2 linked regions of the Drosophila melanogaster genome follow. The protein of the gene in region 1 interacts with the protein of each later gene in a biochemical or structural test. Each region holds a gene or a part of one and is shown in the gene's direction. Other genes may lie near its edges.

Region 1 (7,743 bases):
AGTGGCTTAAACTAAAGGACGAGCCACACAAGCGCAAGCTGCACTTCATGCCACAGAAGTTCAAGTCGCTGAGGGAGGTGCCCGCATACTCGAGATACCTTCGGGAGCGTTTCCTTCGTTGCCTGGATCTTTACCTGTGTCCCCGTGCAAAGCGTGTCAAGCTGAACATCGATGCCGAGTACCTTATCCCCAAGTTGCCCTCGCCGCGTGACCTGCAACCCTTTCCCACGGTGGAGAGTATGGTTTACCGTGGCCACACCGATCTGGTGCGGTCTGTTAGTGTGGAGCCCAAGGGAGAGTACCTCGTCTCCGGTTCGGATGATAAAACCGTCAAGAGTAAGTACTAATTTAATTGACAACCTTTTAGATATCTTCTTACTAATCCATCTCACCTCACAGTTTGGGAAATTGCAACAGGTCGTTGCATTCGCACAATCGAGACCGACGAAGTGGTACGCTGTGTGGCTTGGTGTCCAAATCCCAAGCTGTCTATTATTGCGGTGGCCACTGGCAATCGCTTGCTGCTCGTCAATCCTAAAGTGGGCGATAAGGTGCTGGTGAAGAAGACCGACGATCTCTTGGCTGAGGCGCCCAGTCAGGATGTCATTGAAAGTGAACGCATCAAGACGGCGGTGCAATGGTCAAATGCGGAAGCTGATGAGCAGGAGAAGGGCGTCCGCGTAGTGATTACCCACTTCAAACCCATCCGACAGGTGACCTGGCACGGTCGTGGTGACTACTTGGCCACAGTGATGCCCGAAGGTGCTAACCGCTCGGCTTTAATTCATCAGTTGTCCAAGCGGCGCTCACAGATTCCATTCTCCAAGAGCAAGGGTCTCATCCAATTCGTGCTCTTCCATCCGGTGAAGCCCTGCTTCTTTGTGGCGGTAAGTGGGTTAATTTTCTTTTGTTAGTATGTCTTATTGAATTCTGTTTTTTCTTTACAGACGCAACACAACATTCGCATTTATGATCTGGTCAAACAAGAGCTTGTCAAGAAGCTGCTGACCAACTCCAAATGGATATCGGGCATGTCTATTCATCCCAAGGGCGACAATCTGCTGGTGTCCACCTATGACAAAAAGATGCTCTGGTTCGATTTGGATCTGTCCACAAAGCCCTACCAGACCATGCGACTCCATCGCAATGCAGTTCGCAGTGTTGCTTTCCATCTTCGATATCCGCTCTTTGCTTCCGGCAGCGATGACCAGGCTGTGATCGTCTCCCATGGCATGGTCTATAAGTAAGTGGCTATAAATCAACATTGCCCAAGGTTAATTACGAATTTCTCCAAACTTTTTTTTAGTGACCTGCTGCAAAACCCTTTGATTGTGCCTCTCAAGAAGCTGCAAACACACGAGAAACGCGATGAGTTTGGTGTGCTGGATGTTAACTGGCATCCGGTGCAGCCATGGGTCTTCTCCACGGGCGCGGACAGTACCATCCGACTATACACGTAATTTAGGTGTACAAACCCCAAGAAAGTTTCTTTTAGTTTCCGAAAGTTTTGTGAAATTTCAATAGTAAATAAAAAATATATTAATTTTTATGAAAAGTAAAGTATTTCATATAACCATTTCATTCGAACATTTTAAAAACAACGGTTTTCGAAATCAACGGGATCCCAAAATCAAAATGTAAGTGCAACCCTGCCGAAAGTTTATAAGTTCTGGCCCCAAAGCTTTGCGGTAAATTCCAGTGGGGCGAAGAGTCCCGAGCTTTATTCTCTTTTTCCGACTCGCGCACATGTCTTACCGTCCGTTCTCTCGCGCTCTCCGCCTGTCAGTCCCTCTCCTGTGTGTACCAGGAATTCTAACTGTATAGCAATTCCACAAAGCTTTTCGCTCAGTCCACCTATGGAGCCCTCCCCCGGCTGCCCACTTTCCACTCGCCGTTATCTTGCGTTCCTCGGGAGGAGCGCGCGCATTGGAAAATCAAAATCAAGAGCTGGCGACACGGCACTGCTTGGAAATCAGTCGCCTGCCTTTGCCCGAGCGGAGAGAATCTCGAAACGCTCGAATCGACCCGTCGAGGATTTTGGCTTCAGCTTCTGGGTGCTGCTGGTGCTGAGCAGCCAAAATCGCAGAGCGCAGAAATCGAATGGGAATTGGCTGCCATTGCGGGGGCACCGAGCACGAAGGAATATAATAAAATATGGCCGAGGGCGAAATGTGAAAATGTGAAAATGCCAGTCCAGGCAGTCCAGTGACCACGAAAATTGCAGTTTCCCCCAATTCGTATTCATACACACACACACATTCTCAACAGTCAACGAAAAAAATCGTAAAGAAATTCACAAAAAAAAAATCGAAGCACAAGCAAAACAATTTCGGGGCGAAAAAGAAAAATATATACAAATATACACATTTCGATTCCGATTCTAGTGGCAAAAATTCGTATGTACTCGTCGCTGCTCCTCAAAAACATACATACATACAAACGCGACCCCCTTTTCCCGCCCACCCATTCGCCCAAAAATCCTCAAAGAAAATATAAACGTGTGTGTGGTGTTTGAGTGAAAATCTGAACGGAAGCGCTGGTTCAACAACAAGAAAATAAAACAAAATATACATATAATATACATAGATAGCCAGGCTAAAGGCAATGGTCAACAAAAGAACCCAAGCAGCTGATTTGTGATAAGTGCAACGACCAAAAATCGCTGGCGTTTCGAGTTACAAACAAGTGCAATTAGCTGCTGATGCCTACATGTTGCAGCTGTTGCAGCAACATCAGCACAAGTGGAGAAAATCACGCATACGCCCCATCCGCCCAACGGGCCAAACAATGCGCTCCACTTAGCCAAGTTGCGTGTCAATGTGGTGGTACTCCAGCCCACCCCCTCCTCACGCACACACGCACAGACGCACGCACACAACGGCGCCTACATATATATGTACATATACAATGGCAGTGTAATGACTAGCACAAGAAATAAATAAAGGCCAGAACAACAACTACGGTGGCAGCTCCAGCTGCTCATAAATTTCGTAACGCTTGTGAAATGTGCCCCTTGGTGCACGGGGCCATTGAATCGCTAGATTTTCGCCCGTAAATCCGGAGCGGAATATGTAAATGCCACCCGCGCACCGTCAACTCTCTAAAGAAACGCTAGACCCCCTAGAAAAAAAAACGGAAACCAAACCCACGCGAAGGTTTGAAGTCAGGAACCTACGATAAGGATAACTACTACTCGAAAAGGTTATCGAAAAAATCTTGAAGAATTTCTGGAATTTTTCGGCTTGTAAAATCGCCCAAGGAAAAGCTAAGGAGAAGGAAAAAAAACATAAAACAAAACGAAAACTAAAATCAAGAGCAGCAGCTGTGGGCAGAGCGAGAAAGAGAGGACAGAGCGCCACAGGGAGAGAGAGAGAGAGAGAGAGAGTGTGTGGGAACTTTCGATAAAAAATTATTAGCAAAAACATAAATACGTAACGGTCTCCCTGCATACCCCACATCCCCAAGGAAGCCGAGAAAGAGAAGCCGAAGCAAAGAAAAGAGCACCAAAGCGAGCGGGTGAGTGGGTAGGTCAGTGGCAGTGGGCGGTCCGCCAGCTGGGGCAGCACCACCTCACCACCCAACACCCATCACCATCTCCACCTCCACCATCTCCGTCAGCTCCGCCAGCGTCAACCTCAACTTTCAAAGGGCAGGTAAGTGCACACGGAAAACGAGGCGAATCGGGAGCAGTTGGACCTACTCCTCCAGATTACACTTTCCCGAATATGTATTTATTATATTTTGATAGTTTTGGTAAATTAAATATACAAACAATCAATGTTTTAATAATTCAACAGTTTTCTTTACTATTTAATCTTTAATTTCATATAAAGTTTCTTTGTGATAAATGCAAAGAACAAATATTACAATTTTATTTAAAAGGTGTTTTGACTAGATTCAAATAACATATTTATGAATATAATGTTTATAATATAAATATAATATTTATAATAATATTTATAATATAATGAATCAGTTTCAGTATCTTTTGAATGACATCTTGTCAAATTAATGGGATCCAAACCAAAAAGACAAACACTCACCAGCCAAGACAATTAAGTAGTTAAGTTCCGGGCACCTTGGTTAACAATTCTTTCTAGATGACTAATAGAGCTATTTTTTGCAGTGTGACTGTGATTCGCCCAACTGTCAGCACACTTTCCCCCCACTCCATCCCGTGCACAGTGTTCATTAACGTTTCAATTTGTTCCTTTATTGCAGGTAGCGGCATGTCCTGCACCGTTTCCGAGCTGCCCAGTGGCTGTCGATTGCGCGGCATGACTGCATCCTCACAGCAAAGTGCCGCCAACAATAGTGGCAACAATGGGAATGGCAATGGGAACGGTGGCGGCGGGGGCGTCGTCGGAGGTGGCGGCAGCCTGGGCGGAGTATCGCCCACCGTGGGCGGCAGCGTGGGAATCCTCGGCTCCACGTCCAACGTGCTGCAGGAGTCGAACGCGACCACGTTTCAGCGTCCGCAGTCGCAGAAGCCTTGCTGCTTCTGCTGGTGCTGCTGCTGCTCCTGCTCCTGGTGAGTATGGAGGCCACCACCGAGTGGCCTATTTGTGCACCGCTCGAATCCTCTGACACGAAATCAATTTCTTTCTCGTTACCGCGCTGCCTTGACTCAACCGTTCGGTCATTAAAACAACTACCTGTGCCAATACCCATCCACTGCCAACCACATCCTGACAACAGGGCCAAATGGTAAGCACCTCCTGAAACACTCATGCATTCATACACCGAGAGAATCGATTGGTATTATTGGACTGTAAAGTATAGAATATTAAATGCGCAATTATTTTAAATACGTAATTATTTTACCTAGTTAGCTTTATTTTCAAGATATACTATAACAGATGAACCAATCTTTGGTTACATTAACATCGTTATTGTTAATTAATTTATTTATTTTTACTTATTTCAATATCAATTTTTTGCAAATTTTTTATTTTTTTATTTTATAAATCATTTCATTTTAAAGGTTGTCTGTTTGAGCCCTTTTTTTAAGAGAGTCGAAATATTATTAGTCCATGTTTCTCGCAGTGCTGTCATGGATGTGGCCACGGTTACAGCTATGGTTATTGCTTTGGCTTTAACTATTGCTTGGCTTTGGCTTTGGCTTCGGCTATGGCTGTGCCCACTGACATGGATATGGATATGGATATGGATAGGGAAGTTGAAATGGAAATGGACACGGTAAAGGTGGCCTTCTGCTGGCAGCTGGCAACGCTGCTGAACATCCAAAAGCTCTTTCTCTCTCCGCCATGCGAACTTTCTCCGCTTTCTCTCTTACGAAACGCTCTTTAGCACTGGTGCCGCTCTCTCAGTTTCTCCCGCATTCATTCACAATTCCGTGAGCAAGGCGACGGGCAGCGAAAAGCTCTCTGGAGGGCACTTTTCAAATCAAATATAAATAAGTATGTGGCGGCTCCTCCGCGGACTCCTCCAAGTGTTGCATGTTTTCGTGAATGAAAACGAAAGTCTTTTGCGACCCGCCGCCAACTCGCAACCCCCCGTCCGCACCTTTGTGTGCACAACTTGGGGGTATATCGCCCCGAAAACCCAGTTCAGAGCACCCGATGTCGCCTCAAACCCCCCCTGGCCGCATCTAATTTGATTCATATATGTATAGGGGTATATGTACGCCTGTGTGACTTTGATTAGGTATTGGGCCAGCGAGTCGCTCTGATAACTGTCGTCCAGATAAGAGAGCTTTATGTCAAGTTCGAGTACTCCGTTGCTCTGTCTCCGGGCTTCGAAACCCAAAACCGATATGCCATTAGCCTATCTACAGTGTTTATTCGAGGCATTATATCTTTATATCGCGTTCAGATATATGAGTAACTTTTAAACTCTCTAGCTTAAAATGTGGTAGAATCGCTTATGTTCAGTTTCTATGTTTGGTGCAAGTGTTTTATAAAATGCTAATCAGTAGCTTGCGCTATCTAAAAGTTTACGTTATCGAGCGGCTACTGTACTTACATATTTATGCTATTTTGTGCCAGTTAAAAATGAGTCAGGCTGAGCGCCAATTCAGCGATGAATAAAATTGTAGTATACTTTAAAGGGTGATTGATGAGTTGTAAAATCAAAATAATCGACTTTTAACAAGCAAACCCCCCTTGTTTTTTCCCTTTTTTCTTATCTTTACAGTCTGGCCATCAAGAATGCCGATGAAAATGCCCCCACGAAGCGAGATCTGGTAAATGCCGAATTCTTGGATGGCGAGCAGTGAGTTTGAGCACCAATCAACTTAATAAACTTAAGCCACGGAAAAACTACATTTATTTGTACATTACAGACCCACACTGGAGGAAATCCGCAGCTGGGGCAAAAGCTTTGACAAGCTGATGAAAAGTACAGGTAAGCCATTGACAATTGCCACCTTGATCCAAACTAATTGGTGGTTGGCCGAATATTTTCCCAGCTGGTCGAAAGGTGTTCCAGAACTTCCTGCGCAGCGAATTCAGTGAGGAGAACATCCTATTCTGGCTGGCCTGCGAGGATCTCAAGAAGGAGAATAGCCCAGAGTTGGTGGAGGAGAAGGCGCGCCTCATCTACGAGGACTACATCTCGATCCTGTCGCCCAGGGAGGTGTCGCTGGACTCCAGGGTCCGCGAGATTGTCAACCGGAACATGATCGAGCCCACGACGCACACCTTCGACGAAGCTCAAATCCAGATCTACACACTGATGCACAGAGACTCATATCCGAGGTGAGTGCTCTTTAGGCAAAAATAAAAGATACTGTATTTATACTTAAACGGGGTATCTTTTTCAACAGATTCCTAAACTCTCAAAAGTTCAAGACACTAGCTCAACTGCAAGACAACTCGAATGCCGGTTCCAAAGCGGATAGTCCAACTTAGAGAGGATGGCTTGATGTCCCGGATCGGATTTGGATTTGGATTTGGATCGAATTCAGTTGCGCTGTGTTGACTTCCGCTGTTGCTCTCCACTGGTATATCTCTGATTTTCCGCCCCAATCGCTGCTGCAATCGACTAAGCAATATGTATCCATTAGTAGAACCATTTAACCATTTTGCGAGCAGCCACGAAATCAGGATCCTGGTTGGGGCCGGTGAATCAGACGTCGTGCGTTCAATGTGAATCGGATTCCTTTCTCTTCCTACGTTCTAGTCGTTAGCTAACCAAAGAGTTAGGTATTACAAAATATGTTTTCACTAAGAAGCAGGTTCGACCACAGAAAGCATTTTCCAAAACAACCAAAAAAAAACAAAAAAACAGAAAGAAAAACAACAAGAAAAAAATACCCAGAAAGCTAATACGAAACGAGCGACACAAATAGCATCCATTGTAATACTAGTGATCTAAGAGACGTATTAATCAAATTGAAACCAAGATTACGGAACCCGCTAACTGATAAGTATGTTTAAACGTAATCATAAACCGCAACGTAACAGAAATACTTTTTCCAAAAAAACATTACAAAAAAAAGAAGGAAAGAAACCAAAAAATCTTTTTAAACGTATTACATACATAAACTTTATAAACTTATATATACAACACACCAGCATATATATATATATATATATATATAGTAAAATTGTTGTTTTATTTATGAGTCGAACTAATGTCCCGTCAGTTGACTAAGGACAACGCCAAGAAATAAAAAATAGTTTTTAGGAGAAATAGTTTCACGACTTTATTCTTTGGATCTCAGCTTAAGACTAAAAATCAAATGCAAATTGGATTGAGGAGAAGCCTCAGTATTTGAAC
Region 2 (4,540 bases), 7.4 Mb from region 1:
TGCCATTCTGACAATGTGTTCAGTTTTATATATTAAAATTGTATCTTTTCAAATGTCATGATTTGTTGATTAAGCTGAAGTTTTCAACAAATAAAAATAAAAATGAAAGCACATTCAAATTACCAAATCACTTGCAACCGTATTATTTATTATTCCGTATAAATGATCGTTTTTAAATACCAGGTAAAATGCAAGTTCAAGTCATTGGTCTTTTAAGGATCAGGAGTAGAATAACACATTCATTTAATACATTGTTTTGTATGCTTATATATATAATATAGTTTATAATGTTCACAAATCCGGCTGCCTTATCCTTTGCACTTTTTCATGATTTTTGACGTGCTCCTTTAGCAGACGCATTATTTCGGTATCGAATTGAGGAGGTGTTGGCTTGGTATCGGTGGCCCAGTAGAATATATCCCAGTCGTTGCTGACACCATTGATCAACTGATCGTACTCGGCGGTCTGCTCGGCATTGAAGTCCTTCAAATGCTTGGCCACAAAAGTGCTCAGCAAGAGATCGTTTTCCAGCATTCCGCGTTTCCTGCTTTGATACAAAAGGCTGCACAAGATAATGAATGATCATAAGTAGGAGTTTGGGATATTTTCATTTTAAGCGTATACCGCTGCTTGCGAGTTTCCAGCGGCTCATCGGGACGGACAGGATATTCCGGAACTGGCAAATGCGGCGGATCATCGTAGTCCACAATTTCCCCGGGTGTTGTGTACTCAGTTTTGTCCAAATTGCTGGCGAGGCGACTTTGGGCCATCATAGGTAGTTGCAGGCGACGGCCTACCGTAGATACCTGTGTCCAATTAAGCAATCAATTATATTTTACTACATTTGGGGCCATAAACTTACTATAAATTGCCGCAACATTTTAGGAAACGACCAAAACAATGATATAACGACAGTGTTGGCTAAGAAAGTTAAGTATAATCGATAGATTCCTGCTATAATAATCGGCTGTTGCTATAAATAGTGCTGGAAAGTGCACACTTTGTTGAATTAATCATTTATTTTATTTAACCGTTCAAACCTCAGGCGAATTTAAATTAAAATAGTTGTTTTATTTTAAATATGAATATATTTGGGAGAATATGCACTGCAATTGTTATGAAAGGTATGCGAATTTTTAATAATTATTTGCAATAATATAAATAAAAAATATATCTCTATTTGTATCACTTAAAGCTCAAATATTGTATTCATGAGATCCTTTTGAGTGGCCTGCTATTTAAAATCCAGATAAGTTTCAAAACATAATAAAAAAATAAATGTCTGTACATACAAAGTGATGCAAAATATTTATTGAAACTAAAGTGAGCATGTTCTTTCATATTTATATAAAACATTTTATTAAATTATATGTATATAAATAGCGGAAGATTTTAACAAATTTAAATTTTTAAATATAAGCTTGTTTTGCAGCAGCTGTTGTTGCGGCCAGTGCTGGTCAACAGCCACCCCCGCCGCGTCCAGTGCTGCGCACCGACGCCGCCAACAGCTGTTCGAACGCCTCGCTCTGCAGTTGGAAAGAGCGAACGAAGCGAGAGAGAGCAGCTAAATTTTCGCACACCAGAAAAGTGCAATTTACCAATATCACTGCGGCCAAAAATACAAGTGCAAGTGCTCGGCAAGTGCAACGGTAAACTATCACGATCGGTGCAATAAATACAGCGAGTCGCGAAAAAGAAGCGCAAAGCGAACGGAACCAATAAGAACAGCCAAACGCAAAAGAGAGCCTCCTGCACACACACGCACACAGCAGGCTGAAGCAGACCCACACACACGCATACACTAGTGCGGTGTGTATACGACTGGAAAACTAGGCGGTGGTAAATGTGAAGCTGAAAAAAGCTGAAAAAAAGGAAAAGGAAAACTCGTGGGGTGGTGGGTGGCGGCCCAGTGGGCGGGGGGTGTGGCGTGTGCAGCGCGTGAGAGTGCGTAGTGCGTGCGTGTGAGTGAGTGAGTGTGTGCGCGCGTGTGAGTGAAACAGCGACAAACTAAATGAAAATTTATACATCCGAAATGGTTAACAGTTTGCATAAAAACGGCATTACTTTTTGCATATGTTAATGTGCTTAGGCAAACGCTCGAAAAAGAAAACTCCACAACCCACCGCCTTTTTTTCCACCAACCCGGCGCTTTTTTAGCGCCTACGCCCACGCTTAATACATACACACTGCATAAAAAACATACAAATAAAACCAAAAAAAAAAAAAAACAAACAAAATTTATAAAAGTTTTATTAAAAGTGTGACAACAAAAAATAAGTGGTATCCAAAAAATAAGCTTGAGTTTTTGGCTCTTTGACCTCGAGACTAATTCACTTACATGATAAATTACCATCGTTCTTATCGCGATCCAGCATTATCTGATGGATTTATCTTATCAGCGCGATTGATGAATTTTGTATCGATATCGCAAACATGCTCCATATGCAAATTAGCTGGCTATCATTGCTTTTATTTTTACTTTGCGTCTGCTGATAAAAAACAAAAGCAACATAATTGATACAGTGCGCGGCCCATTGCACAGACAGTGGCGGTCATAAAATTAGTGCTTGTCTCAGTACAGTACAACATCCATAGAGCGAACGATGTGTTCCATAAACCTTGTAACATCAGTTTAAAATAATCTTTTTAACTATTACATACAAATTAATATACAGCTGTGTTTCTCATAATAGTTGAGTAACAGAAAGAATATTACAATTACAATTACAATTTGTGTTTATACACAGCAGACAAAATTAATTTAAGATAACTCAACATTATTATTTTGAACTCGGCTGTATATTTAACACATCCTTGATATTCATTGGTTCGCCTTATCGATCGCGCACTGTTTATAGTGAATCATCCGCTGACCCGTGTATTTGTTATTGTTGATGGGTTCAATACTCCATTTCAGTTGAAATCGTTAAACTGTACATAAGCAAATAAGACATAAAGAAAAAAGTCCAGGAAAATTGGAAAACAAAAGCCCGAAAACCGAAAAGCCCCGTGTAAATCCGAATCCGAATCCAAATCAGTATCCAAACCCAACCACAATGGGCTGCACCACATCCGCCGAAGAACGCGCCGCCATCCAGCGATCCAAACAGATCGAGAAGAATCTAAAGGAGGATGGAATCCAGGCGGCCAAGGACATCAAGCTCCTGCTGCTGGGTAAGTGCACTTTTCGTCGCTTTTTCTCGTTTTTCCACTTGGGTTTTTCTCACCGGAAATGGAAATCCTGCTCAGCGTTTACCTTTCCACTCGACTCGACTCTATTGTTCGTTCTATTTTGGTGGAAATTGCTGGTTTATCTATCGGCCGCCAGATTCCGGGGCACTTGGAAAATTTTATTTTCGGTTTTATGTGCCGATAGATAGGGGGATATTTATTGCACACACTTTTACTCTGCGGCGGAAATGCTGGATGTACTGGACGCAATTTTGGATTAGCTGCTCTTCAATTTCCATCAAGGCTTATATCAGAGTTCACATTTTTTAGAAGATTCAAAGACTGGAATAAAAGTAAATTCAAAAACTATGATTTTTGTATGTACTGACTGGTTATTTAAATTAAATGTAATGACTTGTTGCCCCACAAAAGGAATCGAACTCAAGGTTATTCCACTCTATTTGAGTGCTGATGAATCGATTCCATGACAAAACTATTTTTAGCGTGTTTTTTTTGGCCAAGGCGAAACCGAAGTAATTTGGGTCAACTTTTGGGTGTTGCATGTGGCATGGATATCCGAAAATAAAATGGACTCATGCACCACTGTGCATGCAACATCTTAGACAATGGCAGCAGCAACAGTTGCATCCGCCCTCGTGGCAGGCGAGTGTGAAAACCTAAACAGTTTCGAGGAGCCATGTGGCCTGCGGATGACTCGGTCCGATTAAAGTGGTTTCAGTACCAAACAGTTCGATAGTGATGAAATAATTACAATGTTTTTAAAAAATATATAAAATAATGACTAGAATTAGCCAAATCTAAGAAAACAGTGCAAATTATCTGAACATAGCTTAAGAATTTAAAGATGCTAAAAAATCATCATGTAGATATTGTCTTTGCTGTCATCTCTATCCTGCATCAGCCTGAATCTCATCGTCGAGTGCATCTGTGAGCTGCAGCTGCAGCCTTAGCCTTAGCCTTAGATTTTGTCCAAGTGCGTCTGCATCCGCCAAAAGATGAGGGCAATCGACGCCACTTGACATTGAAACAATTGCACGTGTGTGCCAGTGGGCGGGTGTGCACCATGTAGCATGGTTTCGAGGTGCAGTGTTTGTTAACCTGGTTGCGCCACTGACACCGAAATGTCAGTTAATCCCATTGACTTTGACTTGCCCCCGAAAACGAGATAGGGATGCAGTCAGGCAGAAAAAGGACAAAGCTGCAATATGCACGGGAATTTCTCTTTCACTTTAACATTGTACACAAACATGTTGCGAAAAACAAGCAAAATCTCCATATCGTGGATGCACTTAAAGCAGCATTCAAACAAACCAAAAGTTAAAGATATAAAGTTTACAAAACATTTAAT

Evidence for each region. The genes of interacting proteins can lie anywhere in the genome.
Region 2: of the proteins of Dhit (region 1) and Galphao, one has a biochemical effect on the other in vitro, tested with the Drosophila melanogaster proteins (one study listed by BioGRID).

What each region holds. Positions count from the first base shown.
Region 1 is NT_033778.4:17,790,898-17,798,640, forward strand, and holds Dhit (double hit), read left to right. Parts: upstream 1-1,972; 5' UTR 1,973-3,653; intron 3,654-4,221; 5' UTR 4,222-4,229; coding exon 4,230-4,531; intron 4,532-4,698; coding exon 4,699-4,707; intron 4,708-4,988; exon of another isoform or gene 4,989-6,156; coding exon 6,157-6,234; exon of another isoform or gene 6,235-6,304; coding exon 6,305-6,366; exon of another isoform or gene 6,367-6,430; coding exon 6,431-6,719; exon of another isoform or gene 6,720-6,787; coding exon 6,788-6,872; 3' UTR 6,873-7,231; downstream 7,232-7,743. Other genes in the region: CG5033 (uncharacterized protein), read left to right, coding at 1-336, 400-887, 948-1,243, 1,307-1,460.
Region 2 is NT_033778.4:10,436,458-10,440,997, forward strand, and holds the start of Galphao (G protein alpha subunit o), read left to right. Parts: upstream 1-1,527; 5' UTR 1,528-1,649; intron 1,650-1,790; exon of another isoform or gene 1,791-1,894; intron 1,895-2,013; exon of another isoform or gene 2,014-2,035; intron 2,036-2,148; exon of another isoform or gene 2,149-2,280; intron 2,281-2,913; exon of another isoform or gene 2,914-2,917; 5' UTR 2,918-2,988; exon of another isoform or gene 2,989-3,056; coding exon of another isoform or gene 3,057-3,174; intron 3,175-4,540. Other genes in the region: CG12895 (uncharacterized protein), read right to left, coding at 292-562, 625-806, 863-880. UniProt on the Drosophila melanogaster protein: Guanine nucleotide-binding proteins (G proteins) are involved as modulators or transducers in various transmembrane signaling systems.